Lepisosteus oculatus: one gene and its partners. The protein of the gene in region 1 interacts with the protein of each later gene in a pairwise test. Links are inferred from orthologs where the notes say so. Each region holds a gene or a part of one and is shown on either strand. Other genes may lie near its edges.

What was found. The genes of interacting proteins can lie anywhere in the genome.
Region 2: the proteins of appl1 (region 1) and fshr interact in a two-hybrid assay, tested with the Homo sapiens proteins (2 studies listed by BioGRID). The link is inferred for Lepisosteus oculatus from reciprocal best matches to the Homo sapiens genes APPL1 and FSHR.
Region 3: the proteins of appl1 (region 1) and adipor1a interact in binary tests that used the Homo sapiens proteins (3 or more experiments, as listed by UniProt). The link is inferred for Lepisosteus oculatus from reciprocal best matches to the Homo sapiens genes APPL1 and ADIPOR1.
Region 4: the proteins of appl1 (region 1) and fars2 interact in binary tests that used the Homo sapiens proteins (3 or more experiments, as listed by UniProt). The two-hybrid records come from large-scale screens. The link is inferred for Lepisosteus oculatus from reciprocal best matches to the Homo sapiens genes APPL1 and FARS2.

Annotation. Positions count from the first base shown.
Region 1 is NC_090699.1:56,772,979-56,780,509, reverse strand, and holds the start of appl1 (DCC-interacting protein 13-alpha), read right to left. Parts: upstream 3,050-7,531; 5' UTR 2,923-3,049; coding exon 2,869-2,922; intron 1-2,868. Other genes in the region: asb14a (dynein axonemal heavy chain 12), read right to left, coding at 4,775-4,953, 6,085-6,238. UniProt on the Homo sapiens protein: Multifunctional adapter protein that binds to various membrane receptors, nuclear factors and signaling proteins to regulate many processes, such as cell proliferation, immune response, endosomal trafficking and cell metabolism.
Region 2 is NC_090712.1:12,719,111-12,726,277, forward strand, and holds the start of fshr (follicle-stimulating hormone receptor), read left to right. Parts: upstream 1-4,044; 5' UTR 4,045-4,336; coding exon 4,337-4,488; intron 4,489-7,167. UniProt on the Homo sapiens protein: G protein-coupled receptor for follitropin, the follicle-stimulating hormone. Through cAMP production activates the downstream PI3K-AKT and ERK1/ERK2 signaling pathways.
Region 3 is NC_090700.1:30,415,331-30,423,169, reverse strand, and holds the start of adipor1a (adiponectin receptor protein 1a), read left to right. Parts: upstream 1-4,716; 5' UTR 4,717-4,887; coding exon 4,888-4,960; intron 4,961-5,850; coding exon 5,851-6,059; intron 6,060-7,839. UniProt on the Homo sapiens protein: Receptor for ADIPOQ, an essential hormone secreted by adipocytes that regulates glucose and lipid metabolism. Required for normal glucose and fat homeostasis and for maintaining a normal body weight.
Region 4 is NC_090701.1:18,441,002-18,448,947, reverse strand, and holds the start of fars2 (phenylalanine--tRNA ligase, mitochondrial), read left to right. Parts: upstream 1-4,823; 5' UTR 4,824-4,907; intron 4,908-7,946. Other genes in the region: lyrm4 (LYR motif-containing protein 4), read right to left, coding at 4,557-4,642. UniProt on the Homo sapiens protein: Is responsible for the charging of tRNA(Phe) with phenylalanine in mitochondrial translation.

The DNA of each region.
Region 1 (7,531 bases):
TATTTTAACTGAGGCCCACAAAAGTAAATAAATAACACCTTAACCTGTTGTGGTATATTTAAGGCTTTATGGGCAGCTGAAGGAGACGACTAAAAATTAAACACAGATTCCAGGCTAGATATTCTCTGTGGCATGCTAAAATATCGTTGAATTTGGAAATGACCTTGAAGTTGTGCTTGTACAGTATTTTGCAGCAAAACGTAATTATTCACACACAACGCCTGACATTGAAAAGGATAAGTGAAGGCCTGTGTCAAGAAAAAAGCAGAAGCTTCACAACTATTCAGAGAAACACAAAAATAAACTAGAATTCCTGAACATCTTCCAAGTGTTCCACTGAATCAATATTATTAATATACAGTATGTATATAGCAGAGAGGCAAAAGGCAACACAAGGAAAGGGGTTATGTTATCCGAGTGTGAATTCAGATGAAAATCACGGTAAAATTCTTAAATCTTCGTCTCATCTCTTTCGTGAGCTCGTCGTAGCTGCTTCTGAAACCCGCGTGTAGAGATTTTGCGCAGCTGCGGCTGCGTCACGTCACGCAGCGCGTGGCCGTGGACTTGTACAGACGGAACTGTGCGGAATCTGTCCTACAAGAGCGTGACGTCACTTTCAAAAACTGTCACCCTGACACCTTGATATGGTCAGACAATAAACTCTCTTAATTCTGCCTTTTCGTGTTAAATACTAAAATAGTGCGGTACTGAACTCACTGAAGCAGAATAAAAAAAAATCAAACAGCGTTACAAAATTAAAATGAAAAAGCAAGCTAATTGGTTATTTCGAATACTCCGTTTTATTAGATAATGCTCTATATTTTTTAAAAAGTTTAAACTTTAAGGATTACACTTTCACTTAAGATCCTTTTTTCCCTAAAGACACTTCAATGTTGGGTTTTTTTTTCAGGGATTTTCATTGTCCCTGGCCTATAAAACAGCATACAACAGGTTGGACTGGATCTGTCAGTACACAGTAACCTGCTATACAACTCTATAGCTGTATACAATGTTACAGTACAAATGTTTACAATAGCTTTCAATGGTTTTTTACAGGACATTTAATTTTTTTCTATGACCTTTTCAGGCCTGCAAACAGAACCAGCAATATTCCAGCTTGCCAGAGCACTCATGAAACCAGCAGAGGGGAAAAGCGATAGCTCATGATTCATGCCATGCAAGCAAATAAGACTGGCACTGTAGAGCAGTTTGGCTCGTCCTCAGTTTTACAGACTCCTGCAGAAACTGTAACGAAACACCTGCCTCAGAGTTTGGCTTATATAAGAGACTGCAGGTTATGAAATTCCGTATGGGTTTAACTGCTGTGAAATGGTAGTTCGTGGAACAAGAAGAAAGATATCTTGCTTAGGAAAAGGAACATACAGTATACTTCAGTAAATTTGTGGTGTTCCGTGAGCTGCTTTGAGGCTCCAGTTTTGATTGTGACAAAGGCCACACTCTTCCTCAGGGACAGGTGAATAATATCCAGTCAGCTTCAACCAACCACTAGTAACAGCTAGATGGGAAATAAAGTACAGCCATTTCTTAAGAGTAAGACTGCTGCTTCATGCTCATCTCCTGTATTAGACTGAATGTGGCGAATTCACACAGAGCTTTAAAACCGTCATAACAATATTATTTAAGGTGTGGCAGTTGAGGAAGAACCTTTGGTTGCAAACCTAATACACTCAAGCCAACCAAGTCTGTACTTAACTGTATAAAATGCATGATCAATAACTGCTTTCATATTATATTTGCTGTTTTAAAAGAAAAAAGGGTGGTTGTAGAGCTCTGGCAGTATAAACAGCCGGGGATATAGGTCTCTCAAGAGGACTAAGGTTCAAAGAATGATTTAATCGAGGAGGCTATATCGCTTCCTGTCATTCAAAGTCGCACGGTTTTCCAAATGAAGTCGCTTCAGTTCTTGACACGTTGCTGTGGCACGATAGTTGGGGGGTAAATCTGTGATTTAAAGCTCCGGTTTGTGAAGAACACGCCCCACAAATACCAGCCACCGGAGTGGAACGAAAATAACGCTTCAGGAAACGAACACGATACAATTGTCTTTCACTGTCACCAGTTTTTTTTTTAAAGAAAGATAACATAATATTTTCAACGTCACATCATAACTTGGAAACAACTTATCCCCATGACATCTGGCATTCTGCTAGAATACTACCTCAATAGGCTGATTTAAAAAAAAATCCTGTCAGTTAACACGTATTATTCTGGATTGTTGCATTTCTGTTCTGTCAGGGAATCTTGAAATAAGGATGGATGACTCACTCAATGACTCAATGAAGCTTTTTCGTCCCTTCGTGTTTATGCACATACTTTTAAATCACAAACCATTACCTTTTAATGGCTAATCAAACGTTATCTAGTAAGAGAAAGAACACAGTCGAGAAATGACGCTTTTCACTCTTCATAAAAAAAGTGATTTAGTAGGGTAAACGAGCCAAGAGAATAATTTGCGATCACATTCTTGTCATTAGCAGTAAACGGCGCTGCAAGAGACCATTTCTGAAAATCCGAATTTTAATACGTATTTATACAAAGAGGCAGCTGTGTCAAACGTACACATACTGTATACATGCGCATATAAACACAAATAGCTAGCGTGCTATTATTGTATTATTTCTACAGTATATAAAAATGCGGTGCTAATCTCAATTATGGTGCTTGTCAAACTCTAGTTTGACTGTACTGGAAAAGCAATTTTGTAGTAACAGCTGTAGCAAGCCAAGATTCTTAATATATGTGATCAGATTTTTTCAGATATTGGAAGGTAAAACTGTATTTTGCAATCTTTTACCGTACTAACAGTCTTTCTTTGTATACATATAAAATAACTTGAATTCCCATTACCTGCGGACTATCTTCCAATGTCTCCTCTATCGGTAGTTTATCAATCCCAGGCATATTTCTAATTTATATTAAACTGAATGCAAAAAACGAAAAAAAAGTGACAATAAACAATCACTCCCACAGAATACCAGAGACCAACAATATCCACAACACCCAACCCAGCTTTCTCCCGAAGCGGAAATTCCGCCTTCGTTTTTTTCTGATTGGGGAACATACTCTCCCGGAGATTTATATCATTTCCTTGTTCAGTTTCACTTTACGTCACAGTGTAATGACAGTGGACAGTGGTGGCGAAATTGAAGCCATTTTGGCTCTAAGAAATAGTTAGTATACCTTTCTATACGTTTTATATGGAGCCAAGATGGCGATCACCTACGTTCAGTGACTTCACTATTCCCGATTTAGCGCTTTACCTCAATGATTTTGCCTCCGTGGAAGTAAAAAGGAAAACGACGATAATTGTATTGACCGCATACACCTAATGAGACTTGCAACTGTCCACTGTGAATAACACGCCAATAACGAGAAATGATCCATCCTTTTCACGGGGGCTGTTGTACAGCAAAAAAGGCTCAAAGGAAGCTTAATGATAATATAAGCAATCTAAATAATCCACCAACACAGATAGTCTTTATTACCATTCCTTTCAGGCATTGAAATTCTCAGTGCCCACTGTATAAAATTCAGTGTTCAGTCACTATCAGTCTGGAAATACTATCACACAAGATATAAAATCACCCAATTATTATCATCTTGGCATGGTGTAAAAAGTCAAGAAGACTCAGGATTTATGTATTTTATTTCTGAAAGGCATTAGCTAAAATACAGGGAATACAGAGTAAAGTAATAGGTATTAGAGTAACAGTGCATCTGAGATGGTTCTCAGATCTTGGTCTGTGCTGCAGAACAGCTGAAGTATTTCCATTGCCTTTAGCACAATATGAAACTGGTAGATTGTGAAAATCTTTAGACCCGTCAGAAATCTTAAAGTAAAATCTGGCTAAACAGTGTCTGCATTGAAGAACATGATCTTTTAAATTTAAAGAGTGCACTCTACCTGAGATTGTGTTAGTAGATACATGCCCTGATGTTTTAACAAAAATGTAAGATCATCGACAGAAGGTTCTACTACTGTATTCAGACTTGATACTAGTCACCTGATTGTAGTGGAGTGTGACTCTACTTTCCAGTGTTTTTCAAATTGAACACCATCATTCATGAGTCTTATTCTCTACAAATACACCAAGCCGTATCAACTGCCAGACTCTTAATAGTTTTCCTTAACCAATATTTTGTTACCCATGTTAATTTTAAAAAAGAACACAGCGATGCAATAAATGTGTGAATTTGATATAACCTCCTATATATAATTATGCAGCTCATTTAGTACATAAGCATACCATGAAGCCAACATGGGGAAACAAAATAAGAAACAAAAAGAAACGACAATAATAGAGGCATAAAGAATAACGCTTACAAGGTATCTGATTACAAAAGAGTTCTGCTCCTTTCAACCAGACTTTCCCCTTGGGCAAGAATGTTTCCAAGCTTTTCCAACCACCAGATATTCGAGAAATGCGATACGCTGACTTGCAGGCTAAAGGCGGGGCAAGATCCCCTTTTCAAACTGTGTCTAGCGAAATGATGACATTTGCCAGCACAAATCTAGTTTCTTTGGGCTGATGTGATGTGACCGTGCCTAAGGGGAATCAGTCATATGTCATTATTCCACCCTCCTGTGCCCCTTGCTCTGAAATGATGACCCCCTTCCATTTCTCCGGGAAGCTCATCGTGTGGCTTGGGGTGACCGTCCCTCAGGAGGCCTGGCGCAGGACAGCAACGGGAATCCGCTGCTCCCTGGACTGAGGAGAACCGAGGCCCGGAGGTGCGTGTGGTCGCTGGGGTGTCACCGCGAGCCCAGGAGGGTGCCCTGGCCGTAGAGGTCGTACTCTCGGTAGAGGACGTAGTCCTTGAGGCGGCTGGGCAGGGGCAGGAAGCTCATGAAGACGGGAGCTCGGAGCCGCAGGCGACCCAGGCATTGGCGGATCTGCAGGCGGCACAGGTGCTTCAGGCAGCGGGGGTTTTCTGTGGGCGGCGGGACCCTCGTCAGAGCCACTCCCTCCTCCGTGGTCAGCAAGAACCCCCCCCATCCGCACACTCGTAGTAGAGCCTCACTCCCTTGCGTCACGAAGCCAAGCAAACAAAAGCAGGCAGCAGACCTGGTGTGTGACTCTGGCTCCGACTAGATTACCTGACAAGATGGATCTGTGATTTCCCATGACAGCTGGACAGTAGAATATGCCTTCTGGGATTGGTTCCTAGAATATTCCTATACCATGTGTGCTCAGTTACAGGGGTTAAATTAATTTTCTCTTTGTCTTGACATTTATGGTGACTCAGGAGGAAGGCCCTCAAGAATCACTGAATTCAGAGCATGGTTTTTCGCAGTACTCTCCAGACCATTTGTCGAAATAAACTGATTTAGATGTCAAACAATGGGTCGAATTTCAAAATACCGCATCATTCATCTTGAATGGCGAAGCTTCTATATGCTTTGGTGTATTAACTGACAACTTGCTCCTTTTAGTAAGCTACACAGCCCTTTCTATATTAGAGAAGTGTGGCCAGTGAATTTTGAGCACTTTTCAACACAGAAGACCGAAATCGGAAAAATCCTGCTTCGTTATGACAACAAAATTCGACGTCCGCATTTAGAGGCTGGAGATAACAAAATCTATCGTATTTATTAGCAAAAACAAAAACAATACAAGCAGCAACCCATCCCATCCCTAAGTCACTAGAAGATACATTCCAGTGTTACCTTATATGTTTTTCCTCACAGGAGGAAAATACAGTCAGAGTGAAATATTTGGTTCATTATATCTGTAGCATTGGTGCATGATTGCTCATGTCTGGTACATTCTGCGGTCAAATCATATCTGCACTTTGTACACTACTGAGTGGACGTTCTGAGTAATCTGTAGGTTTTGGGTACTTACTGGTGGAGGATACCCATCTCATCTAGTAGAAGTGTTTCACCTACAAGGTCATAATACCTCAAGAGCTTGACATCTAAATTGGTCTGAAAGGGAGAGCAGTGCTGATTAGTGCATTATTAACAACCTGTACCTTTCAGCTTGCTGCTAAGCATAAGAGCACACTTAACAGCCATACGCTAGAACAGTCACATGCAAGACTTCCAGGCCTCTCACTTACCTTGAATCTGACATATCTCTTGCCACTGTTTCTGTTCCATGAGAGCAGATTTAAGCTTGGAACAAAATTTCACATGATCAACATAATCTAGCATGATCCTCACCACTTGTCCAGAGATATACCTCAGCCAGTACACTGTGATCACCTCACAGAACTGCAGGAGAGAGAGAGAGAGAGAGAGAGAGAGAGAGAGAGAGAGAGAGAGAACAGCCAGAGAGCCTTGTAGTGTTCATCTATCAGATCTCATGCCTCATGTGCCAAAAACAAAGGGTAAGGGATCATGGATTCATTCTGATTATCAAGTCTAAAGCTTGAAGAAAGCTTCAACACAAAGGTTTCCATACAGCAAGCTGTGCCAACAATTTTTTATCCCTCTACTCTCTATCATCATTTGAGTATTCATCTCCACATTCTGTCTCTGAATTCCAAGCCAGGTTAAATGTATGTTTTGCACATGTATGGCTGCACATGTGTGTGAATTTGACTGTGTAAATGAGACTGTGGTTTTTTGCTGTGTAGGCTGAAGACGCAAGCTCAATCAGGATGTAAATCTTCAGATGAGAGACGTACAATTCTATAAATGTTCATCAGTTCTTAATGATATTCAGCCATTAAGTTCCCCTGTAAAGTGATATAATAGGATATTTAACTCACATTATTGTTATGAATTGTTATAAATCCCTCCCCATACTGACCATCACACCTCAGTCTGAGTACGGAAGATGCTTAATCAAGCGATACATGTTTTTAGACACTCACATAGGTAACGAATAAGAAAATTACTCATCACAAGAATAGTGAGAACAGGTTACAACTAATAAAATAAGAACTCAAAAGTAGATCTCAAGAAGTTTTACCTCATGTCATTATCTGACCGTGATCAAGGGTAGGGTGGAATAAGTCTATCGATGGCCTTTTTAAAATGTACTCATATCTAAACCCACATCTGGATTTGCTAATGTTTAAGATGCAGAAAACAAGCCAAAAAAGGCAATGTTCGTTATAAGCCTACTTTAAACATTATATTCTCTTTGCAGGAAATGGCCTTAAAAATTAACAGAAGTTAGAAGAAATCAATTTAAAACATCTCAAAGACAGGAGAAAACTTAAAGAACAGTCAAATACAAAGTAAAACATCCTTTTTTTCTGCAATGGGATTCTGTCCATTCCATAAAATTAGATGAGAAGCATTGATTATCCACAACAGAAAATTAACACTAATAAAAATAGTTCATTTACAAATTCCTCACTGTTGCTATCCACATGAAACTGATTAGGCAAAAAAAAAACTCATTGTGATGTCATAATCCAACTGAGTGATGTCATAAAGAGATACAGGCTATAAAAACCATTACATACTGTCCATCTTGACAAATTTCTTTGAATATAGATAAAAACAACACTACAGCTTTTAAAAGAAATAAAATGCTATTGTTGTTTTTGATAA
Region 2 (7,167 bases), on another chromosome or scaffold:
CATTAGAATTTGAGTGACAGCTATCTACACATAATAATGCTGCTCAGATCTCATCCAGGAATGCTCAGGCAAATATAGCCATGAAGTGACATGAGCCTTAGTGTAATCCAGCCTTTTGGATTCCAGTGGCAGAAGGTCGGTGGATTTTATGATAGTTGGATGTTGTCTATAATTAAATGGCACAATCTAGATTTGGCAGGAACAGAACCACAGATCCAAAAAATTAACAAAAACCACCCCACTAGCTGAGCATATGCCGTGGGGGTAAATATAATATATTATATTTTCACCAATTTTAATCAATATCTCTTAGGGGAGATAGACAACTGGCGACAGGTCACTCTGAAAATAATATTTCTATTTCAAAAGAGTCTAATAGCTCGGATGCAAGAGAAAATCCATTCTTCTCTTCAGAGAGACAGGGAGGGAGAGAGTGTGCCTTAGCCCGATTTCCATAGGCAAGGTTCTGGCTCGAACACTGGGACATCCACATGTGCAGTTTATATTCCTGCTCATTAAATAGACAATGATCCCAGCGTTGCATTCCCATGCGGCTGGCAGGAGAAAGAGGCTTGAGCCATATTCCTTCTCCCCTGAGGCCCTCCAGCACTGACCAGCAGAGTTTTGGCTCAGATAAAGACAGCGAGTCTCCATTGTGTCACAACGTGTCAAAGAAGCCATGGCTGCCATAATAACTTGGGAGTGTAATCCAGATTTCAGAGGGCAGTTTCGGTAATCAAACTGCAAGTAATTGAAGTAAAGGGCCTCAAAGTAAAAATCTCAGAATCACTGGCTACTCACAGGCAAGTGGGCTAAGGCTTCTTTCTTTCTGTGATGAGGTATTTTTTTCTACCTCTAAAGTTTTTTTTTTTCTGTATGAGAAAACTTCTCTTTCTGTTTGAGGTTTAGACTGCAATCCATCTGCTCACTGCAACATCTTATCCTATCTTTTCTGACACCACTTTAATGAAGCTAGTGATTTGGCTTGGATCCTAAGAAGTTTAGTGAAGAAAATAGCCTTTAACAGGTGCCTGGAGCACTAATTTAAAGTTGCACACTGAAAAGGAACAAAATCTCTCACTTAGAAAGAATGAAGAACAGGAACAGCAGTGACAAGATGTACGATAACAGTTATAATACTGGAACTGAACATGGTGCAAATGGCACCCTATATTTATAAAACACCCTAGGGGGTGACGAAGATGACGTGGGAAGGAGTTTTAGATTCATGAGACTGTCTTAACCAAGCCACTGCATCTGTGTGCTCCCCTCTTCTGTCATCTTATACAAAATATTAACAGGCTAACAGGTATAAGTCAAGATTCTCCAGTCCTGGTGTGCTTCAGCCACATATACACTTTCAAATTAAATAGTCAATGTGCCTTAAAGATTCAGTAGTATAGTAGTACCATCTATGCTCTAATGAGAGAAGTTAGTGGAAGTAAACAATCGTCTCTGTTGTGCTAAGTACATAATACAGCTTGTCAGAAATTCTTTTCTCATGCCGGTGCCTTGAACCAACATGTGGATTGAAAATGAGGAAAAAAGTGTCATTATTAGAACTAATTTAGTTTTCAAGAGTAAGACTTTGACAGGTAAAAATGTATTTAAAGCTGGGGGAATATTTAGAAATCTTTTTAAAGCCGATTATGTCTTTCTTTACGAGCAAGCTCCAGTGGACTATTTGCAAAACTATTTACCCATCTCCCAATGATGTCCCATCCATCCATTTTCTAACCGCTTCTTCTGCTCAGGGTCACAGGGGAACCAGTGCCTATTCCAGCAAGCAACAAGCACAAGGCAGCATAAACCTGGCCAGGAAACCATCACGGGGCAAATAAGCATGCACACTTACAGTATGCCTAGGGACTGTTCCCCCAGAAACCAATTAACCTACCAGTACAGTATGTTGCTGGACTGTGAAACCCATGTGAAACACAGGGAGAACATACAAAATCCACACAGATAGCACCCTGGGTCTAGAATTAATCCCAGTGTTGCAAGGCAGCAATGCTAACACTCCACCACTGTAATCCTTAATTACTTTTACGATTAAGGTAACTTCTATGCATTCTCAGAACTTTTAAGGGTGTAAAAAGTTAAATGACCACAAAATCTGTAAAAAAAAACTAAGACATTCATTGCAAAGTATTCACCCAGGTGAGTCAACACCTGCTGGAAGCACATTTGGCACCAATTACAGCTAGGAGTCTTTTTCGATACATCTACCAACTTTACACAGTGAGATAATACAAATTTCTGCCATTCCTCTTTGAAAACGTACTAAAGCTATGCCAAGTGGCTAATCAGTTTTCAAGTCTTGCAATAAATCTTCAAACTAGGACCTTGAGCCACCCTGATATTCACTTTCTCCTTAATCTACACTAAGAAAGATTTGGGATATTGCCCCGCTGGAAAGCAGACATCTCACACCTCAGGTTTTGAACTCTATACTTATTCATAGTCACCACTGGATTCATATTGGCATCTGTAACTGGTTTCCCCATGCCTGGCTGCTCAGTTTGGAGGCAGTGCCTAGGTACACCCACTTCTTAATTAACTTCACCATACTCAAGGGGCAATTTATACCCTTCTCTGTTTTGCTGTAACTTCAAAATATCTCCAAGTTGTTTTGAAAGCTCATTGGTCTTCATCGTTGAATTCTTGTTTGAAATTCAGTTTTCATCCCCCATAGTAAAAAGTATAGAGCCTCATTAAATGACCCAAGTCATTAATACCAATACGTAATTGACCACACTTGTTATAGACCTGAATTTCTATAACAAGTTTTTACAAATGCTTCAACAATTATAAAGATCTTCCTGCCTGATCTATTTTTGGATTTAGAATTAAACTCTTCTGAGCCCTCAACCTGATTATTTTCTGTTTTCTTTTAATCTGGTAACGTTCCCAGGTGACCCTAGGCTTCACCCTTATAAAGCAGCTGCCCACTTACTATTATAATGAGCCAGAAGTACCTGACTATAGCAAAGCCAATAACTAAAGAATGATCTACAGTATAATTAGTTAACTGGAACATATCAGGGGAAACTAATTAATCAGTTGAGCCAAGATACCAGCTAGAAAAATAACAACATCCAAAAATTGAATGCTTTGTGAATTTTTGGAATGCCTGGTAAGACAGGTTTTGTTTATCCCACTTGGTTATGGGCAGCCTCCTGGCCATAGAATGAGGGTGTTTGAACCCCATTCGGAGAGGGGTAAACCAAGGAGAGGGTAGAGAGGAGGTGGAGGAGGGATGCTTGAGACTAATGCAAAGGAAATGTTTGTTCAATATATACTGTATAGAGCTAATTTCAGTAATGATAGTGATTATGTAATGAGATTTACTTATCTTTGTTATCCCTCCCAAATTTCAGTTAAGAACTTCCATATCTAAGTGATTCATTAGGTTGTATCTGTTTATTTAGATTGTTATGAACATTTGTTTTAAAAAAATCTGTTACACCATGAGATCAAACCTGAGAACTTTATGTGAAAAATACAATATAAAATACAATTTTATATTTTATTGTCAGGTTTTAATAAAATATTTGTCTTAAGACTTGTTCAGACAGCTGTAAGTTCATTGACTGTCTTGCAATGAGGTTTCCCATTTATTTTTGTCTGTGAGTTTCATAATAAGAATAGTGTGTGCTGAACAAAGTTCATTTTGCTCTTAACATGCACTGCTCCTTATTAAAGAACTAAGTGAAAGCCAAAAATTGACAAATATTTGCATATGCCAAAAAACGTTTTGTAATCACAGACAAAACTAGACAGCAAAATGGACTTTAAAGTGAAAGAAGTATGAGCCTGGTTATAACACTGTGTTCTTTTATATTTTAATGAACTATAATCAGAGATGGAACAGATCAGATACACAGAGTGTGTTGCCAAACATTTATAGGTAACATGAAGTCAGAAATTAGTGTCTTATCATTTTTGGAATTCCTCTGGTTTTTGAGGAGGTAATCTATCTCCACCATTTAGTGATGAATTCAGAATGAGGAAGAGAGGAGAAAAGCAAGAAAGGCACTTGCTCCTTATCAGAGTCCTTTCTCCCAAGGTCTCTGATGGGCTTGCTATATAACAAAGCTGGCTGCGTGCTCAGGATCTATTTATTCACTTGAACAATGTGTTGTTGTCTTTTTCGGTACCATTAGATGAAGATCTAGAAGAGCAAAACCAATCTGCAAAATTCTGGAATCTAATGATATATAACTGCAATATCAAAGTAGTGTTAATGCTTGTCAGCTGAAAAAAAGACGATCCACACATCACCGCTTTATACACAAAAACACAAAGAGACCAGATTTCTGTGGACGGAGACAGAATGATCCTGTTGTGGGTTTACTTTCTTTTGATAGGAATGCAATGCATTGAATGCCACGTCTGTGCAAGCAATGGGACAACCAGATCTTTCTCATGTGTGGGAATCAAAGTTCTACAGATGCCTACTGACATTCCACAGAACACGACCTATGTGTGAGTAAAATGCCTGTAACTAAAGACATAGAATCTCAATTGTGTTAAAATCAGTAAATAGCAACTGTTTGAATTTCTTGTTCTAATTGATGTAATTATCTTACATTTATTTATAGTAATATAAACATTAATATTTTAGCTTTTACAAACTATATCATATGATGACTGCTGGAATGAGTGAGTTTGAGTGAGTGATCTTTTCCAATTGTCTTATTTTTTCAAATTCAGTTGTTACTCCTGCAAATATATTTTAGCCAATATGGCTGACTGTAACTACTATTTTGTAAATGAATGGGTGGATGTTTATGGCTCTTTTAATTAAGGGAAAAAGCCTTGAACATCATGTGAAGAACAACATGATCATATTTTGATGACTTCATTTATAATGCTGCATAGCGTGTGAGTAGATAGTAAATAATCCAGCAGAAAACATCTTAAATTTTCCAGCCAGAAACTTTGCAAATATCACAGTATTCTTTTTTCAATTATACATTTCTGCTCAGTCTTTACCAAAAATAATGTTTAATTAGAAATATCACAGTGCTTAATGCTTTACCAAACCAGAACAGTACAGCAAAACTTCATAAACACTAATAACAGATCAAGTAAATGTGTTTTTCATTTTTATTTATGAGCACTTCTCAAGAAACTCATTTTTATCACCTCATGATAGGAAAGATTTATCTTGAGATGTATAGGATCCCACTCCAGACTTGACACAGGTTAATAATGGTTGTCACAGGGACTGTACATCTCCAAGTCCCCAGTTACTCAAAACCCCTAAAACTGGTCCAGGACATGGTGGGGAGAGTTTCTTGATTACTCTAGAGAGATCTGAGGAGTAAGTTTATATTATTAAACCAGTAATACCCCATTCCAATAAACCTCTAAGAGTTAATCATGTAAATTTAATAGCAACGGTGATTATACAATATATGGGAAGCCACTATGTATAATCTGGGTTCCTTGTGAAACAAATGTGGTCTAAAAACTATCATAAGTATCTCAATTTATTGTTCCCCAAGATTGAAAGATAATGGAAAGAAACTATCTTTCTGATGTATGAAGAACCTTTAAGATTTTTCCCACTTACTTTTGTTACTTACATTTCTTGAAACATTTCCACTCTCCTATCCAGTTTTTAATATTTCGTTTCATCTATATGCTTATATACTGTAGATGTTTTTTAGAGGAACCTTTTAGTTACAAAGCATTATAAAAAAGCATTATGAAAAAAGTTACAAAGCAGCAAGATTTATGTCACGTTTGACCAATGCAAGCTGGAGACTTTGTCAGTCTTTTGGCACTGTGAAAGCAATAATGATTTTTTCTTTGGTGTGTAACTCAGATTAATTCATAAGAGTTATTTATAAAATGTAGGTGTGGGGAAATTTTAGGAAGTCAACTACAATGATGATCTAAGGAGTACAAAAGACCTTCTAAGGAAATTAGAAAAAATAATAATAAAAAACACCTGGACGTTAAACAGAATAATTACATAAACATTATTTCTTCATTTAAATGAGTGGTACATTTTTAGCTGAGAGCAGTTTTCATTCTGAATATGCTGTGCTTTAAATCAAGCAAAGTCTTCCCAGCCCTGTTAAATCCCTATGTGTTAGAAATTAAATTCAAATGCCCCTAAGCTATATCTGACCCCCTTGAAAAAAAGATACAGAAACCTACCTAGTTCCATACGCAAAAGGCCCTTTTTTTTCTCAAGGCTCTGGGTTTTGGTCCTAAAGGACAAATGTATCAGGTGAAACACAGGATTAGAGTGCCTTTGGCTACTATATCAATAGTTTATATTACAATATTAAAAAAACATAGTAAAAAATACAGATGATGTCAAAGTTGTGGCAAAAACTGGACATAGCAAAATAAACATTCTTGATGAGAGATGGAGAGGATTTATATCAGGCCATTATTGAAGCTGCAAAAGAAACATCTATTTTTGATTATTTAAATACAAGAAAGTCTAAATTGTTATGCTCTGGTATTATTCAAAGCTAAGATAACTAACTGTTGTGGAATCAGAAGTATTTCGTTGGCATAGTACAGAAAATCAGTGCATTTATCTTTCATTGTGTGCAGTGACCATAAAGATATTAGAAATTCCAAGGAAATGTATTTAAAACTAATTTTGCCTGGTGTTTTTATGGTTTCATGATCAGAAAAAGGCAAAAAAATGAAAATATTTGTAAAAGGGAAAAACATGGGATAATCTGAACCTGAAGAGATTACTTCTTTCCAGATAGTAAACTGCTAGGTAACTGAAGGTCTTGCAGTGGTGACAGAAATTAATTAGCTGGGACTGCTGTGTATATAACAGGGAGCTGTAGATGCTGACTATGTAGAAAGATCACAGAGGTACATTAACTTCTCTGGTACACAGACTGCACAGAACAGAGAATCTATTTTCTTGTTTACAGCTAGTTTACAAAATTATCTGTCTAAACACCCAGTTCTCCAGTAATGTAATCTTACTCTAACAACAAATGTGAAGGATTGTTGTATGTGGTTTTCCAACTCCCATGTGTAAACACAGTGAGAAATTATTTGTTTTTCACCTGTTTGTTCAAGACAACTATTCATTTGTATACAGAGAACTAATTAATTAGCTCCCCCGAAATGGTGAAAGCAAACAGGTATGGTATTGCTGACCATGCAGTATTTAGT
Region 3 (7,839 bases), on another chromosome or scaffold:
CAGGCTCACGCCTGCTGAGCTTCAGGGGACTGCCAGTTGAGAGTTGCAGGCTGATATGGCTGCTGGCCTAAGGTATAAATGCAAAGCGTTGTCTTTGGTGCAAACTCAACACCATCCCTTCGGACAAGCACGGTGGAGGCAGCATTATGTTAACACTGTATTTTCTTCACTTGAAATGAACACACACGGGTTTGGGTCTCGCTCTCTTTGGGTGCAGAGAGGAACCGTTCTGTCATTTCCCCGGTCGTGATGCAGGTCTCGGTGATCCTGAGGAACTCCAGCAGGGCGCGCTCGAAGAAGCCAAGTCTGTCGGCTCTGAATGCGATCCGACCCGGATTCAAACTGAGTTTTTAAATATCTGTTTAGGTGGCTTTTATTTTGAAAGGTGCTGACAAGCTAGAGTCGCTTAATGTAGCTAGCGTCACGCTACTTTGCGGGTCAGGTTGCGGGTGAAGGTGAACTCGCGCGCGCCGGTCTCTTTGCAGTAGCGGATGAAGTGCATCGGGAAGATTTATTTTATCCCCCGGGTGCCCACGCGTAATTTCTGCTCCGGGCAGACAAAGCTGAGTAAATTAAACCTTCTGCCTCTGACAGGCGTACGGGGCAGCCAAAGAGAAATCCTTGAAAACGGTGCTGAGGGTTTCATCTTGCGGCGGTACACAGATGTTCTGCGTGTGGCCCGTCGCCTGCAGGACAAGAGCTAAAGTTGTTTTTTTTTTTTCTAATTAACGAGAAGAGCTGATTATCAATACAGAACACTTTCGATAGGCGAGAGTTACTCTGGGCAATTTATATAAAAAAAGACTCATAACGCTATTAGGGTGACTGGACTGTTCGTTTTGCTTCTTCGTTTAGTGAGTGTAAGACAAATAATTTCGATGGGATACCCATTTTTCGAAATCTCCTGCCATGCAATGCTCCAGCAGAACTCCCTCACTAGTTTATTTCCCTATAGTAGTTACGCACTATTAAACCTTAAATTTAAGCCTATACCAGACCCTATAGCTGCAAGGTCCGCCGTAGCGCAGTGAAAACAGACGGGAAGCGCAGCTTCTCAAACTAGATTCCAAAACTATAACGCTCAGAAACAACACGATGCCCCTCCAGAAAACCACGTCCATAAACAGATGTAATTATGAGAACAGTAAATACGGGTTCCAGATTACAAAATTGCAAGTGTGTAGTCTCACTCTCTGTACTTCAACGTAAGTCTTCAGCTCAAATACAAGTGAAAGCTCCACGACAGTAATTAAAATGCATGTGTATTCACTCAGTAATTAATAAGACAAGCAATCAGATCATTCGGGCATATGCACTGATATCGGAAAAACTTAGTTACAGCCTATTACGGTAACGCTTAAAGAACTGTTCTTCGTGACGATTCCGTCCGGAATCCTCACCTTGCGTAATAAAAAGCTTAACATATATTTAAATCCGAAAGAAAATAAGACAATTATGGCATAATACCTAGCAATAAAGGTAACAGTCACACATTGTACAATTGGGATCGCCAGTTAATTCACTGTAATTTCACATACTATATACTATATACATACGACCCGATATAATAACATTAAATGTACAATTAAATTGTAGATAAATGCTAAACATGTCACGTTTTTCACATTGAAAATCTATAAAATACCATTGTACATTATTAGTAAAAACAATTCAATTGCAGAACCGGTTGTCAAACCGGTAATACCCGTTACTGTGTGTCCCTTAAAACAGCCAGAAACAATTCAGTCACGTTCCTGTTTGAATTGGAACGAGAGCAGAGTGTGAGGAAACAGATTTTATTAGATAATGTCGACGTGGAAAAGGCAGATCTAGTATATGGGTACTATTACACTGTACCATCTCGTTGTTTACATTGTTATTGTTATTGTAATTGTATTTCCTGTCTATTGTCTTGTCTGTTCTATATAAACTGCACCTGAGAGAATAATGAGAAACACTTTATACTTTTATCCCTGTGTAAGTATAATGACAAATAAAATTGAATTGAATTGAATCGAATCTAGTTTAACCTGTTATAGTTCTTTTGAACAAGCTACAACTGTATGATTACAAATAGAGCTGTAAATATATTTATATTTTCAGAAATATTTTAATAAAATTCTACATAAAATATGAATTCTTAAGTTTTAGGGAGAAGGTAAGCAAAGTAAACGATGTCTTTGGACTGGTTAATGGAAAGAGGCCAGTACAGATAAGGGGTTTCAGGAGATATTGCTACTTTAGAAGTCTTTCAGACCGAAGAAGAACAACCGGATACGCTCCCATTGTCAGTTCTACTGGGACAGGCAAAATTATTTGTGCTAAAATAGTTTAAGTTGTTAACAGAGAAAACGACGAGGGGTACATGATTCAAGTGTTCAAAATCACCAGGGGCTTTGACAAAAGCATAAGACAAAAGAAAACTAAGCTAAAGTGCCTTTAAACAAAGAAAAGAAGGCACACATTTACACAAAGGGTAGTGGGGGTCTGGAACAAGCAGCTCAGCCCTTTTGTTGAAGCCGATATATTAGCTTCTGCAAGAAACGCCTGGATGAGATCCTCGAAAAAATTAGCTACTAAACCCCTAAACGGGTTTTTATTTAGAGTTTTAACATTATTCAAAAAAAGTAATTTTCAAAACCAAATTTATGATGTGAGGATTCACTGGATGTTAATATTAACCTGCTGATTATAATCTGTGTGTTTTTTTTTTCTTTCGTTTCCGTTGAGCTCCCATCCGCTGAAGTTAGCTTGGTGAATCTGCGTGGCCACAAGGCACGTAGCAGGTCTTGAAAACAACCGTACGGGACGTTTGAAGCGTCGCCCTCCGCGTCGGGCAGCAGGTGGCGCTACTGGGCCTTCGGCGTTTCGGAGCCTGCGCAGAGAGAAGCCTCTTCGTTTCCTCGCCGGGCTTGTTGTTTTCCCAGGAAGCCGGAAGAAGCGACCTGTAGTTTGGGTCGGAATCGGCGTCCGGTCGGGTAGAATCAGGTAAGACGGGACAGGGTTTTCCGAACTCTGCTGAGAAGCGGAGGAAACCGGCGGGTTCGCCGTCCGATGTTGGTTTCAGCCCCGGGCATTCAAGCGCGCACACGTCGGTCTGTTGTTCCTGAGTTACACAAGCGGCTTTCGTGGGTTCGGGTTCAGATCTTGGCAGTTTGGAGTTGAGGTTGGCCGCCGGGGCATGTTCGGAAAGTGACGGGTTTCCAGGCACCGGGCGCGCGCTAAGCTCGGTTCCGGTGTCAGGAGGTTCCGTTCGGGTGCCGAGGCTCTCCGGCTCCCAACCGAGCTGGTCTCCCTGGATCGGTGCGGGGCAGGCGGCCGGATCTCGCCGAGCCAACACAAAAGCCACCATCCGGCCTTTCGGGTGGGAATATCCGTGGATCTGAGAAGGAAAATCGCCGTCGCATCTGCTGAGCGAAGTTGCCCTCGGAGTGTCAGGCATCTGCAGTTTGTGCAGCTGCGTGACACAAGTATAATAACATATAGTAGGCAGTCGCCGGCTTAATACTGCATTGGTGCCCTCTACAGACAGAGCGTTGTTCACTAATCCATGCCGTCGATTGAAGCATACCTATTGAGCAGTGATATGTTTTAGATGTGACTGATCCTAGCTCTGACTGTCCGGCATGTGACGAATACTGTACCCCCAGACCGAACCCAGTTATTCCCTTTGAAGTCTTTACTGGTCCTACTCGCTCAAGTCAGATTGGTCATTTATTTCTGTATTATTTAGATGATAGCTCTTAAGGTCGTGACTGTGATCGACGGTGGAAATCAGAATAAGCATTGTTATTAAAACAGAAGCCTATTTCTGTGCTGTGTGGATGTTAATTCTGTGCTGGAAATATTGTCTGGTTTCCTGATTTTTGGATCAATCTGCAAATGCTCTCCAAGATGTTTGCTTCTTTGTCTTGTTCCTGAGCTGCACAGTGGCGCAGTGGTTAGTGTTGCTGACTCAGCTCTGGGGACCTGGGTTCAATTCTGGACCAGGGGGATAATCTGTGTGTATATTCTCCCTTTGGTTGTGTGGGTTTCCTCCAGGTGCTCTGGTATCTTCTTTCAGTCCAAAGACCTACTGGTAGGGTTAATTGGCTTCAGGGGAAAGTGGCCCTGGTGTGAGTGTATGTCTGTCTGCCTGCCCTGCGATGGACTGGTGTCCTGTTCAGGGTGTATCCTGCCTTGAGCCCATTGCTTGCTGGGAGAGACTACAGCTCCACAGTGACCCTGTATTGGACAAAGCAGTTAGGAAATAGATGGATTTATTGTTATTTTTACACCATATGTACACTGTACAGTGTAATATGTAATAAACTTATAATATGACTGTACAGTAATAAGCTGAGTTTTCTTTTACTCAGTGCTGTCTGTATACACTCAGGAGGTGAGAGTAAAGATTAATTAGACACTTTAATAAAAACAAAGCGTCGACCTTAGAGGACTTCTATAGTCGCAGCACACTCTTGGGGGATTTACTGAGGTTGAATCCCCCACCCCCAAGGTGATACATTTTCCAAATCTGGCTTTGTCCCTTAAAAGCCCAATGCTGGAGTGCAGCTTCAGTCCAGACAGCGTATGCAGCCTCAGACAGGACAGTTTGGCAGTTGTGGGTGAATGTTTATGTGTTTGAAAAGAAGAATGGGAGCAAAGTACAACATGTGCAATTCCAGCATAAACAAAGCCCCCAGCTACGTCCGTGCTTCTTATTTCTGATGCGGAGACTTGCCCGTTTCAGCTGTCATCTTATCGGCCTGTACGTTGTTGGCAGCGATGACCTTGATGGTTTGTGGGTCAAAAGAAGCTTTAAGCTTTGCTTTGTAGAATGACGTTAATGTGTGACGTTTGTTCTCTGACTGCTCACTTGCCACTTTGGGACTATAAATGCATTAGATGCCCACACAGCCCCGCCACTTTAGAATGAGCGCCGTGGAATTGTCTGGTTTTCCGTGTTCAGCTCCACCAGGTACGTTGGCATGTTTGTGTCTGCTCCGTTTTGTGCTTGGTAGCTCTTTGGCAGCGTTTATTTGACAGCATCATACCTCTCTTTAAAAGAGAGTCTTAGCTACATCTGTATATAGCTCTTTGTATTCATTGTGCTCTGGGTGCAGTACATGTTTTTATCACCATTAACTGCAATTCAAAGTATTGGAGTTGTGAGTTGGGTTTTTTCACGCTCAAGGGGTTTATGTTCTGTTCTGTTAGGAGATGACCAATTACCGTTTCTTTTACAAAGTCAGTTCTTATTTTACTTTAACAGACCTTGAGGGAGTTTGGTCACCGATACAGAGCTGTATGGTTTAAGTATCTGTTTAAATATTCCTTACATATTTAATACAAAGACTAGAACCTTGAATATGTGCTGATATATAGCACAGTAAGTCAAAATAGAGAAAACGCCAATATAAAGTGTATTAACAGGGTGTTAGGCCACCATGTCCCACCAGTGCAGCTTCAGTGCCCCTTGGCATAGATTCTACAAGAGTCTGGAACTGGACTGGAGGAGTCAGACACCACTTCAGGAAACGAAACCTTTATTCGAAAAAATGCTTACTCTTGTTCTCGGCCTCCGAGATCCCAACATTCAAAGCACAGAGAAGAGAAGACACTGGTCACAAAGCCGTTTGAGACCATTCTGGGCAATTTTCTGCCCCATCACTAGTACAGTAAATGGATACTCCCAGAAACGTGGGAATAAAATACCATGTTAGCTCCGGTTGATCAATTAAGTGTGGATGTGGAAGCAGTGCATCTCATTGGCCATCTGGGGTCCCTGTTGTGGCCGACCAGGGCTGATGTGTCAGTGGCGTGGCGGCAGGGGTTGTGATCTTGCTGTGTGTCTGTGTCTGTCCGCAGCAAGAAAGGGTGCCCTGTACGTGGGGCACAGCGGTCAGGCCAGGCAAGAGGGCGATCTCCCCATGTCGGCCAGGAACGGCTCGGCAAGCGATGAAGAGTGCCGTATCACCGAGGTGTGCCGCGCCCCCGAGGATGTGGAGCTGACAGAGCTGGGCCCCCTGCTGGAGGAGTCCGGGGGGCCAGGCAAGGCACAGGGGGCCACAGCTGGGGTGAGTCCTCTGGACCTGGGGGGGGGGAGGGAGATGCAGAGGGTCTCAGACACTGGAGCTCCAGTCAGAGAAAGCTAGCGAAGCTAACTGTGTGACTGAACACAACTTCCCAGTGCGTTTTATATACAGCTCCTCAGGTCTACGGAAGCTTTTTTGCGCCACAGAGGAAAAAAAAAGTTTAACACAGTCTTGCATTTAAACTAAAAACTTTTCTGAGTTTATACAAGTAAACATTGCCTTAAAACGGGATAATTAATTTGCGAACAATATCGCCTGCTATAATGTCGCAATATATATATATACAATAGTATTGTCCCATACACACTAGCATGGACTTTAAGAACAGAAGAATATGGTGACACTCCTTTTTGCACAAAAGAATTAAGCGACAGGAGCGCGTGGAGTTCTTTTTGTATACATGAAGTAGAACTCCTTGCTAGTGAGCATTCCTGGGTTAAAAGAGTCTCGGTTTTGCCGTTTCTGTGAAAAGTAGAAATCACGTGGCTTTCCAAACATGTTATTCTACATGTAAAACTGCAGAAAAAAAGGAACTGTACATAGGTTTTTGCCTTCTCTGTAAACATTGAACGGAATACATTTATGATGACTTGACAGTAAGACGTCTACCTATTGCTGGCTTACTGTAACTGGTATTATTGTTGGTAATCATTGGTAGACCAAGCCAACGATGTACTAACAACTGTATCATGGGTTGTGTGCCGTCCTGTTTTTGTTTTGGCATTCCCCTATCATTTTTACATTCCATTTGCATTTACATTTGCCAATGGACACAGAAATACTGTTTCTTCTTCCTTTAAATGACATGTTTCCTGCATTTTGCTTTTTTATTACAAATTCAAATGGATTTGATATGAGCATAGTGTAGTCCAAAAACCTTTGAGGGCTTTATGCTTAAAGAGTCAACAATTAACCAACAATAACAGTATTGTTCACATATTAATCACATTTGAGCTGTATGTTAGCTCGTTTAAATGCAATACTGTCTCTTACAAATGCAAAAGGTTTCAAGTTTAAAAGCAGCACAATCTTATATGAACACAAAAAATATATTTTTCTCCGTGGCTCTAATAAGCTTCCATACGGGTCTGGTGTTTTGCTTGTATTTTATTTGTGTTTTTAGTATAGACTGATAAGAATCAGAGTTTTATCATAGGGGGAGGTTCAATTCTGATCTTTTTTCTGATCCACGCCTCTCTGATTGAGGGGAACGTAAAAAACACAAAAGGCCTTTAGCAAAGATGTACTCCGCCCAGAAGTAGCTGAGCAGATTCAGACCATCACTTTACCAGTGACTGGTGTTGAAAGGTCCCTGACACAACAGCTAAGCAGCACACAGCTCTCTGCTTGCATATGACATGTCTAAACAGGTTTCTCCTCCTTCAGTGCCAGATGGATAGAATTGTAATGCAAAGGGGATTGTGGGAAAACACAATACAACATAGACATGGGCATGCCTTTAGTGAGGACATCTGGCAAATAGTAATGCAACTGAAATCAGGAGCAGAAAATTGGTGAGACCACACACGACGATGCAACATGAAAGAGGAAGGGGCGTAGTCGGCATCCAGAACAGGATGAACAACAAACTGTACCCAGTATCTCCTTGATAGAAGCTTGAGGACTGTTACAGATGACAGGAGGCCAGCTAACTTTTGCTAGTTAACTAGTTAACCTGCTCTTAACTAATTAATGTGAGGATCTCATCTAGCTGTTTTGGGTATATCGGGTTGAACAGCATGACTGGGTAGCTTGTACCAGA
Region 4 (7,946 bases), on another chromosome or scaffold:
GAACCTTAACCATTACTCCACTGCTGAGAAGCAAAATAATTCAATGAATATCTAACACAGAGACGTTGAATGAATATTTGAATGAAGATGCATGTGCATATTGATTACAGGTGCTTTTAGTACTGAAAACAAGTAGTACGCCTTTACAAACAAGATGAACTGAAAAGCCTCCCCTTGTTTCATAAAGAATTGTCTAGGATGTCTAGGATGAAGCACCCAGCAAACTAGTGAGTGTGACTCTCCGAAAACAAGGTATCCTGGGGTATTTAAGGTATTTAAGTCAGCTTGCGGCAATCACACAAGCAAACCTGGCCGAATGATCTCTTTCTCTTTCATAGGGGTAAAACAAGACAGACCAAGCCAAATGAGAAAAATACTAACTTTTAGGGTTTGCATTTAGGGAAAATATGCATCTGGAACTGGGGAATGCACACATATTTGCACCAAATATTATTAGTCAGGATTAATGTTAAAAAAAACATTAAGTTCTCTCATTACATGTTATTATGCTGGCTTACTAGAGCTGCTTCATTTTCTAGAATGAACATGCTGCTCATGCAGCTGGACTGTTTTATATTTATTTCTGTGTAGATCAAAGGATTTTATTTAATTTTATGAAACACTAAAGGGGTTCTCAGTTGTGACAGGTGACAAATATTTTGACATTAAATGGTGAAAAATGAAAATTACTTCAGTTATACGATTTTGCATGTGAAAAACCATTTTTCAACTGTTTTCGCTTATTTCAGTTTTATTTCATTTAGTGCAATGTGCTCTACTGCATTTTGTTTCCCTGATTAAGACAGTTATTGTGCAAAAGAACAACAGCAATAGTTATTTTACTATGATCGTGATGAATCACTGATTACTTCATATGACTACTGAACTATTGTAAACACATTGTCCACCAAGATCCAACAATGTTAGACCTGGAATTGATCATATTTACAGTATAATGTAATAATAATGAAATAATAATAGTTGTATGGGCTACAGAATACAACATACAAATACTACATATGAAGGCTATGTAAGCTGTTTTATAGAACTACCCCCAACCTGGATGATGCGACGGCAGCCATAGTGTGCACAGTACGCTCACTAAACGTTAGCTATCAGTGGGGAGGAGAACAGAGTGAACAGAGTGAGGAAGCCAGTTCATAGATGGGGATTATTAACAGTATGAAGTATTAGAAGCTGACTGCAGAACCTCAGTTTTACATCTCACCCGAAGGACGGCACCTTCTTACAGTATAGTGTCCCTGTCACTATACTGGGGCATTAGGACCCAGACAGACCGCAGAGTGAGCGCCCCCTGCCGGCACCACTAACACCTCTTCCAGCAGCAACCTTAGTTTTTCCCAGGAGGTCTCCCATCCAGGTACTGACCACACCAGATATTGCAGCCCTCCAATTCACAGTGTTTCAATGCAATAGCCACCCAATGTACCTTGGCGCAGAACTTCCAACTAAAAGGTCCATAATCATCAAAATAAGGCAATTCAATTAGAATTCATTCACATAAGAAATAATTCTCAAAATTTTTCAAACAAAAGGATAGATATATATAGCACTGGCTGTCAAAAGCAAAGTGTTCTTCAATGTGAGTAAGGTACAAATGAGAGCAGAACTACAGCTTCTATTTTAAGCAGAAGGTATAATACTGATTATACAACTGTGGAGCAGAGAGTTCCTAATGCACACACATCTCGTGGGAAGGGGGCACATCACACTAGCTGTAGGTGGTGAGGAGTAAAGACCTCCCGTTTTGCTAGTGGCATTTGCTATCCTGCATCTTATGAAACAGCAAAAAACGTGATAAATAATACATTGTAATCAATGAGGGAAGGTAAATGCTGTGGGCCACCTCGGTGCTGGGCTCTGGCAGATGGTGAGCACTTTTAATTAGGATCTGTTCACTTGCAAAACTGTGCTAATAGGATCGGGCAAAAATGGAGCCATGCTGCTTTTCACAGTTGTGCCATACATCAAGCTCCGAGCTTCCACCTCAGGACAATTCCTACCCCTGGGATACAGTCCAAGGATGCCTTACTGCACATTCAATATCTTAACTATCAGGAAATGCCAAGCAGAGGAACTAGACTGTGAGCCTAGTGTTCCCAGTAAAGGATTGTGTTTTTACCACACATACTTTACAAAACTTTGTTTTTACATTATAATAACAACATTCAGCAGATGCATTGAATATAAACAAAACTTAGAGGGCCTAAAAAAATCAGGACCTGATTTTACTAAAAGGGCAGTCAGGACCTGAACTGGTAATCCCCAGATACAAAAAAATCTATTTCTTATCCACAGGAACATGAACTACTTTACAAATTACAACAACAATCGCATAAAGAATACGTTTTGAAAGTTAACAGAAATGTCAGAATGTTATATATACTGCATATTAAGCATTATATGCATTCCTACTGTATATTAATAATGCTGTACAAAACTAACGCAGATAGGATATTAAAAATTAACTTATGTGATAATTGTGAAACAATATTTCCTAGTCTTTCTAAAAATATATATATAAATGGATGCAAAAAGTGATAAATTGATGTGATTAAGTTATGAGTTAGAAAAAGTGAGAAGGGAGTTAAAATTTTTCGGATAAAAACAAGTAGAAAGAGAGTCGGGGAGGTTTTCAATTTTTCTTAATAGGTCCATGTCCGTCCAGTCCGCAAAATACATTATTAATGTTGGGATTATTATGGTGTTTTTCAAAACAAGATACTGTAAATTATAAATTGTGTAGCTGACTACATCTATCTCCAGTACTTTTACTTTTGTTTCAATAACATTAAACTACCAAAATTCAATCTGGAAAGCACAATGAGTAAATTGGGTACATGTCCTATACTGACAGGCTGAAGGAACTCAAGCCCTTTAGTCTTGAACAGAGAATCCTACAAGGAGATCTGATATACAGTATTCACAGTCCTAAAACGCAGTGACACAGCATCAATCCAGCGGATTGCTTCAGAATGAAAAGCAAGATAAAAACCAGAGGATACAAATGGAAATTATGTAGAAGCCCATTTAAAATTGTGAGCATGAGACACGTGGGGATGTGGGACTATGCAACAAGGTACCCAGCCATTTTGTGGAAGTTAACTGTTAGTTAATTGATCCAAGTATCTCATCCAGCCCTTTCTTGTTAACCTCAACACCATGGATGGGGAGCTAGCTGTTATTAATCTTTGTTTTTTAGTCCATTCAATCCAGTAACATTTTTACACAAAAATAGGCTGCAAGTTTAATTTCATTACTATAGTTTCAACAGTCTGTAAATGATCAATTGCCCATGGAATTCAAGTAAGAAAACGAACAGGGAAAATCTACATGTTTGCAATTTAGACAAAATTACTGTCTAAGCCAAGAACCACCATTATTGTGTTTCAAAGGCTTTTTAACAGCAGGATCTTTAAAGCGTATGATTTCTGCTACATAATTTATGGTTGTGCAAAACATGATTGTACATCACGTTCAGGGTTTGTGTAAGACTTGTTATAAATTAAGTGTTCGGTGCTGTAAGATATACTACTGAAATTTAGTACTAGTAATAGCAGTTTCTGTAGAGCCAAGTGAAATTTGTCTTCGCATTGTATTGTGTGTACTGACGCGATATACTGCGCTGTGCTGTTCGTGTCACAGGGTTTCTATCTAGCGGTTGGAGAAGCTGGAGAAAAACTTTTTTACTCTTCATGTACTTTAAAATCCTTTATACTTTATACTGTATACCTGCGCTCTCCAAGGCCTGTCATAGTAAAAAATCGTTACATAGATAATTAAAGGTGTCGAATTATGTGTTATTAATATAAACTGTTATGCCAATGTATCAAAACCTTTTACCTTTATCTCACAGCTTGTGTAACAACTCAGAGAAGAGAGGGCTTTGGCTTAAGCAAAAAACTATCAAATGCTGAAAACAGATCATTTTGTGTGTAGTTTTGGATAACATTTAATGCGACAACAGACTGCAATTAATTAAAATAGGTTTTGTAATTATAATAGTGTAATAGGTTTTACTTTATGCTATCACAGGTGCACAACAATGGACAAGGAATTAACTTTTTTCGATTCAAGTATTTCGGGATAATATTGTAATTAAGAAAATACAAATGATCACATTGTGCTCCGTAATTCTATAGGAATAAATACTTTATAAATCAGATCACTGCAGGAAAGAAAAGATACATTTATCCCTCTAATTGTGGATCGGGTTATTGTTTTCGAAAACTAAAACACATAACCAAAAGGTCATAGTTAATAAAGCAGGTTTTCATATCAACATCGCAAGTAAGGTACAAGTGCGGGTTATTCTCCGCTGGGACCAGAAGAGGACACAGATGTTGCTGCTAAATAATATCATTACTTCTATGTGCTATAAAAATGCAACCGTACTTTCAGATCCTATCTATAACCTGAAAGCTCTGTTACACTGCAATGACAACACTTGTATAACATGGCACAGCGTTAAATGAAGTGCCCGCTATGTGATTCATGCGATCACGAGTAATTAGCAATAAGCAGTGATCAAATACCTGTAGTTGTATGAAGGAAATTTACTGCTCTCCTTCATCAACAGCCTGTACAGAGAAAGCACCTGACTTCTGCTGGAGGCTGCCATCTTGGGAAAAAAACTGCGACCTACTCCTGCAAGGCCCGTAGGATAGTTTACTATCGAGGAGCCTCGATAGAAATCTTAATAATTGTGGACTGATTTCCCACAAATTGCTTTATGTAATAATACATATTTAATTAGTGTAATATTTATGTTATAATATTAATCTAATATTTAATTCCATTGTTTTAGTTTGATAAAAAAGTTCAAATTAAACAGGCAAATCAGGAACTGCTCAATAATAAAGTGTCAGGACTGGAGAGCGGAGAAGGTGAGTGTGAGTGAGTTTGTGTTGAGAGAGACGTTTGTTGTGTTTCATATAATCATCGTTTCTTAAAGCTCTGCCGGCTTTTAAAACATTTTTAAAACAATTAGTTTACGATTTGTGAGGCTAGTCAAACTTTATGTATTTTCAGGCGGATGAGATTTTTTTCCCATCCTGTTACACAATGTATCTTGAAACGTGATGTACGTGCTAAAAAATACAAATATTAAAAGTACATATACAGTAGTGCATATTATTTAATATGCATATGGACATCCATAAACTAAAATAAATTACAGAGTAGTGATACATATAACTTACAGTAAAATAAAGCTTTTTATGTATTTAATAGAAATGGGAAAAATGAACATGCGGTGTAGAAATGCAAGGTCAATTATGAATAAAGATCTTGGTGTAAAGGAAATACAGTTTTCGTGATAAAGTGGGTTTTGAAATTGAGACTGCAGGTGTTGTAACGTAGCAATGCGCTTGATAATACCGTAACGGCTACTGGAGAAGAAAGTGACGTAATATTTTCTACTACACTCATTTTATGTTGCTTGCCTTGAAAATGCGAAGCCTGTTGAAAAAAGAAATTACACGAGGGATATTTTTGGATCAGAAAGTCCCTAGGAGGGTAAGGTGGCCGCTGTCTTCTAGTTTAGAATAATGCCATTCCTTTAGCCGGGGATAATGTTCCTCAGTTTTATGTTAAAATTAATAATAATAATAATAATGTTGCTTTATTAGCCCAGTACAATTCCTGGCATTAGGAATTCGTCTTTTCGCATACCCCAGCTTGCTCTCCATGAGACACAGACAGGGAGAGAACCTTGGGGTCAGAGTGCAGGGCAGGGTCAGCCATTGTACAGCACCCCTGGAGCAGTTGGGGTTAAGGGCCTTGCTCAGGGGCCCAACAGGGTAGGATTCCTCTGCCGGCCACAGAATGCGAACTGGCAATTTTCCAGCCAAAGGAGCAGATCCTTAGCCACAGAGCCACCCCTCCGCAATCTCACAGTTGAGTATCCCGCATCGGTCTTTTCGGCCAGGACAGGAACTATTAAAATGATCGGAGTGGTTGAAATACTTAACAGGCGAATGCTGCACATTGGTGGTGGTGGAGGGGAGTCCCCATTACCTGTAAAGCGCTTTGAGTGGAGTGTCCAGAAAAGCGCTATATAAGTGTAAGCAATTTTTATATTATTATTAGCTGTTACTTACGTGGCTGTGGGTTGATGCAACTGCGCTCAGACTCCGAGATCAAAAACCACCAAAGTTAATATTTTTCAAAATATATAATGAGAAATAGAGAATTATTTAATAGCTGTAAAGACTATTTGTGTAAATAAAATATTAGTATCTCTGGAACTGGTTTTGAATTGCAGAATTCTGATTTGTGAACAGATGCAGGTAGATGCTGTATTATTTGCAGAGCTTCAGGTTTCCGTTTTTAACGGATACCTTTATTTAAATGCCATCAGTATTTATCCAATAAACGCTGAAACATCATAAAGCAGTGGTGTTTATGTTGCCGTCAGTCCTTTCCACGTATTGTATGAATTGCTTGTCCCTCTGCCTGATGTGCAAATTAATTTATGTTAGACCCAAACTCCGACAAATCTATACCACCTTTGCATAATTAGGCTTTTACGTAAAAGGATGTCATTCCTTGCATCTTCTATTACATTTCTAATCCCTTGTGTTTCTTTGTGCTAATTGTAACTTCTAACTTAGTTACTATTCATTTGTTGAAACTGTTTATTTATTTGCTTTTCCCTTAACTCGTCTAGAGAAGATACTTCTAAAGGTGCTATATAAACTAAAGTTTATTATTATACTTACATTTTAAAACTAACTGTTTTAAAATACTTATTGCAGAGGACAAATGCTTAATCACAAAAAATTCAAAAAGAGCGCACCTGATCACAGATTTCAATAACTAAAAGGAGGTACTTGTATTCCCAAATCAAGCTTTGGGCTGGGCGAGCTGCCTGCTGCAGTACTACTCTTCTATCTGACCTGTGAGAAGAGCATCCCTGCAAACTGGTGCCAAAGCCCAGAGGATGTGCTCCTAATTTAACACAGACAAAGCCAGTTTCACATGGACCTTCATTTTAGAATGCTGACTCCCCGGGTCTGCAGAGAGGTTCTGTATTGAGTTCATTCTGATGGTCTGACGAGAGTTGAACTTTCACATCGGCTACAAGAAATGCCTTCCCCTACTTCATTTACCAGCTTGCAGGCAATAGCGTTTCCTGCCTCAATTCCCAAACTGCTCCCGCCATCTTACCACAGTTTGTTTATCCATTGATCCATTTTCTATTCCGCTTATCCATTCCAGGGCTGCAGAGCTTTTTACACTACATACACATGCACACGCTCATAAAAGGGCCAAATTTACAAGAAGTCATTTAATCTACCATCTTGTCTTTGGACTGTGGGAGGAAAACAGAGCACATTGAGTAGATACAAATTATATGCAGATAGCACCTAGAAGCAATGTTGCGCCACCCTTTTTTGCCCCACTGACTGCAGGGACGGATTTTGGTGTTCGTAGGCCCTAGGCACTTTCTCTCCGAAGTGTGCAAAAACGTGACTAATGCCACTTGAATTATGTCTATTGACACAACGCACTTTCAACTATTCTAATGCTCAACCACGTGATTGATGGAGTGAGCCGAGTGATCATCACTTCGATACTTCTAGTTTCTAGAACAGCCGCTAGATAGCGTATGATCATTATTTGGAGCACCTAGAGTCGATCACAAGCTTGTTGTTTCAGCACATTTTTCATTAGTCACTAGTGTTTCCCTCCTACGTAGGCCCTAAAAATTCTGTAGGCCCTAGGCACTGTGCCTACAGAGATCTGGCACTGACTGCCTGGGATTAAATAGTAGTGTATATAGTAGTAGAACTGGAACACACTTGATGGTAATTGTATCCTTATAATATTATTGCTTGTGATTTATTATTGAATATTATGTGCTATGCTTAATGTCAGGAGTGTCTATTCCTGGTTCTTGCTTAGCTTAATAGGACAAGTTT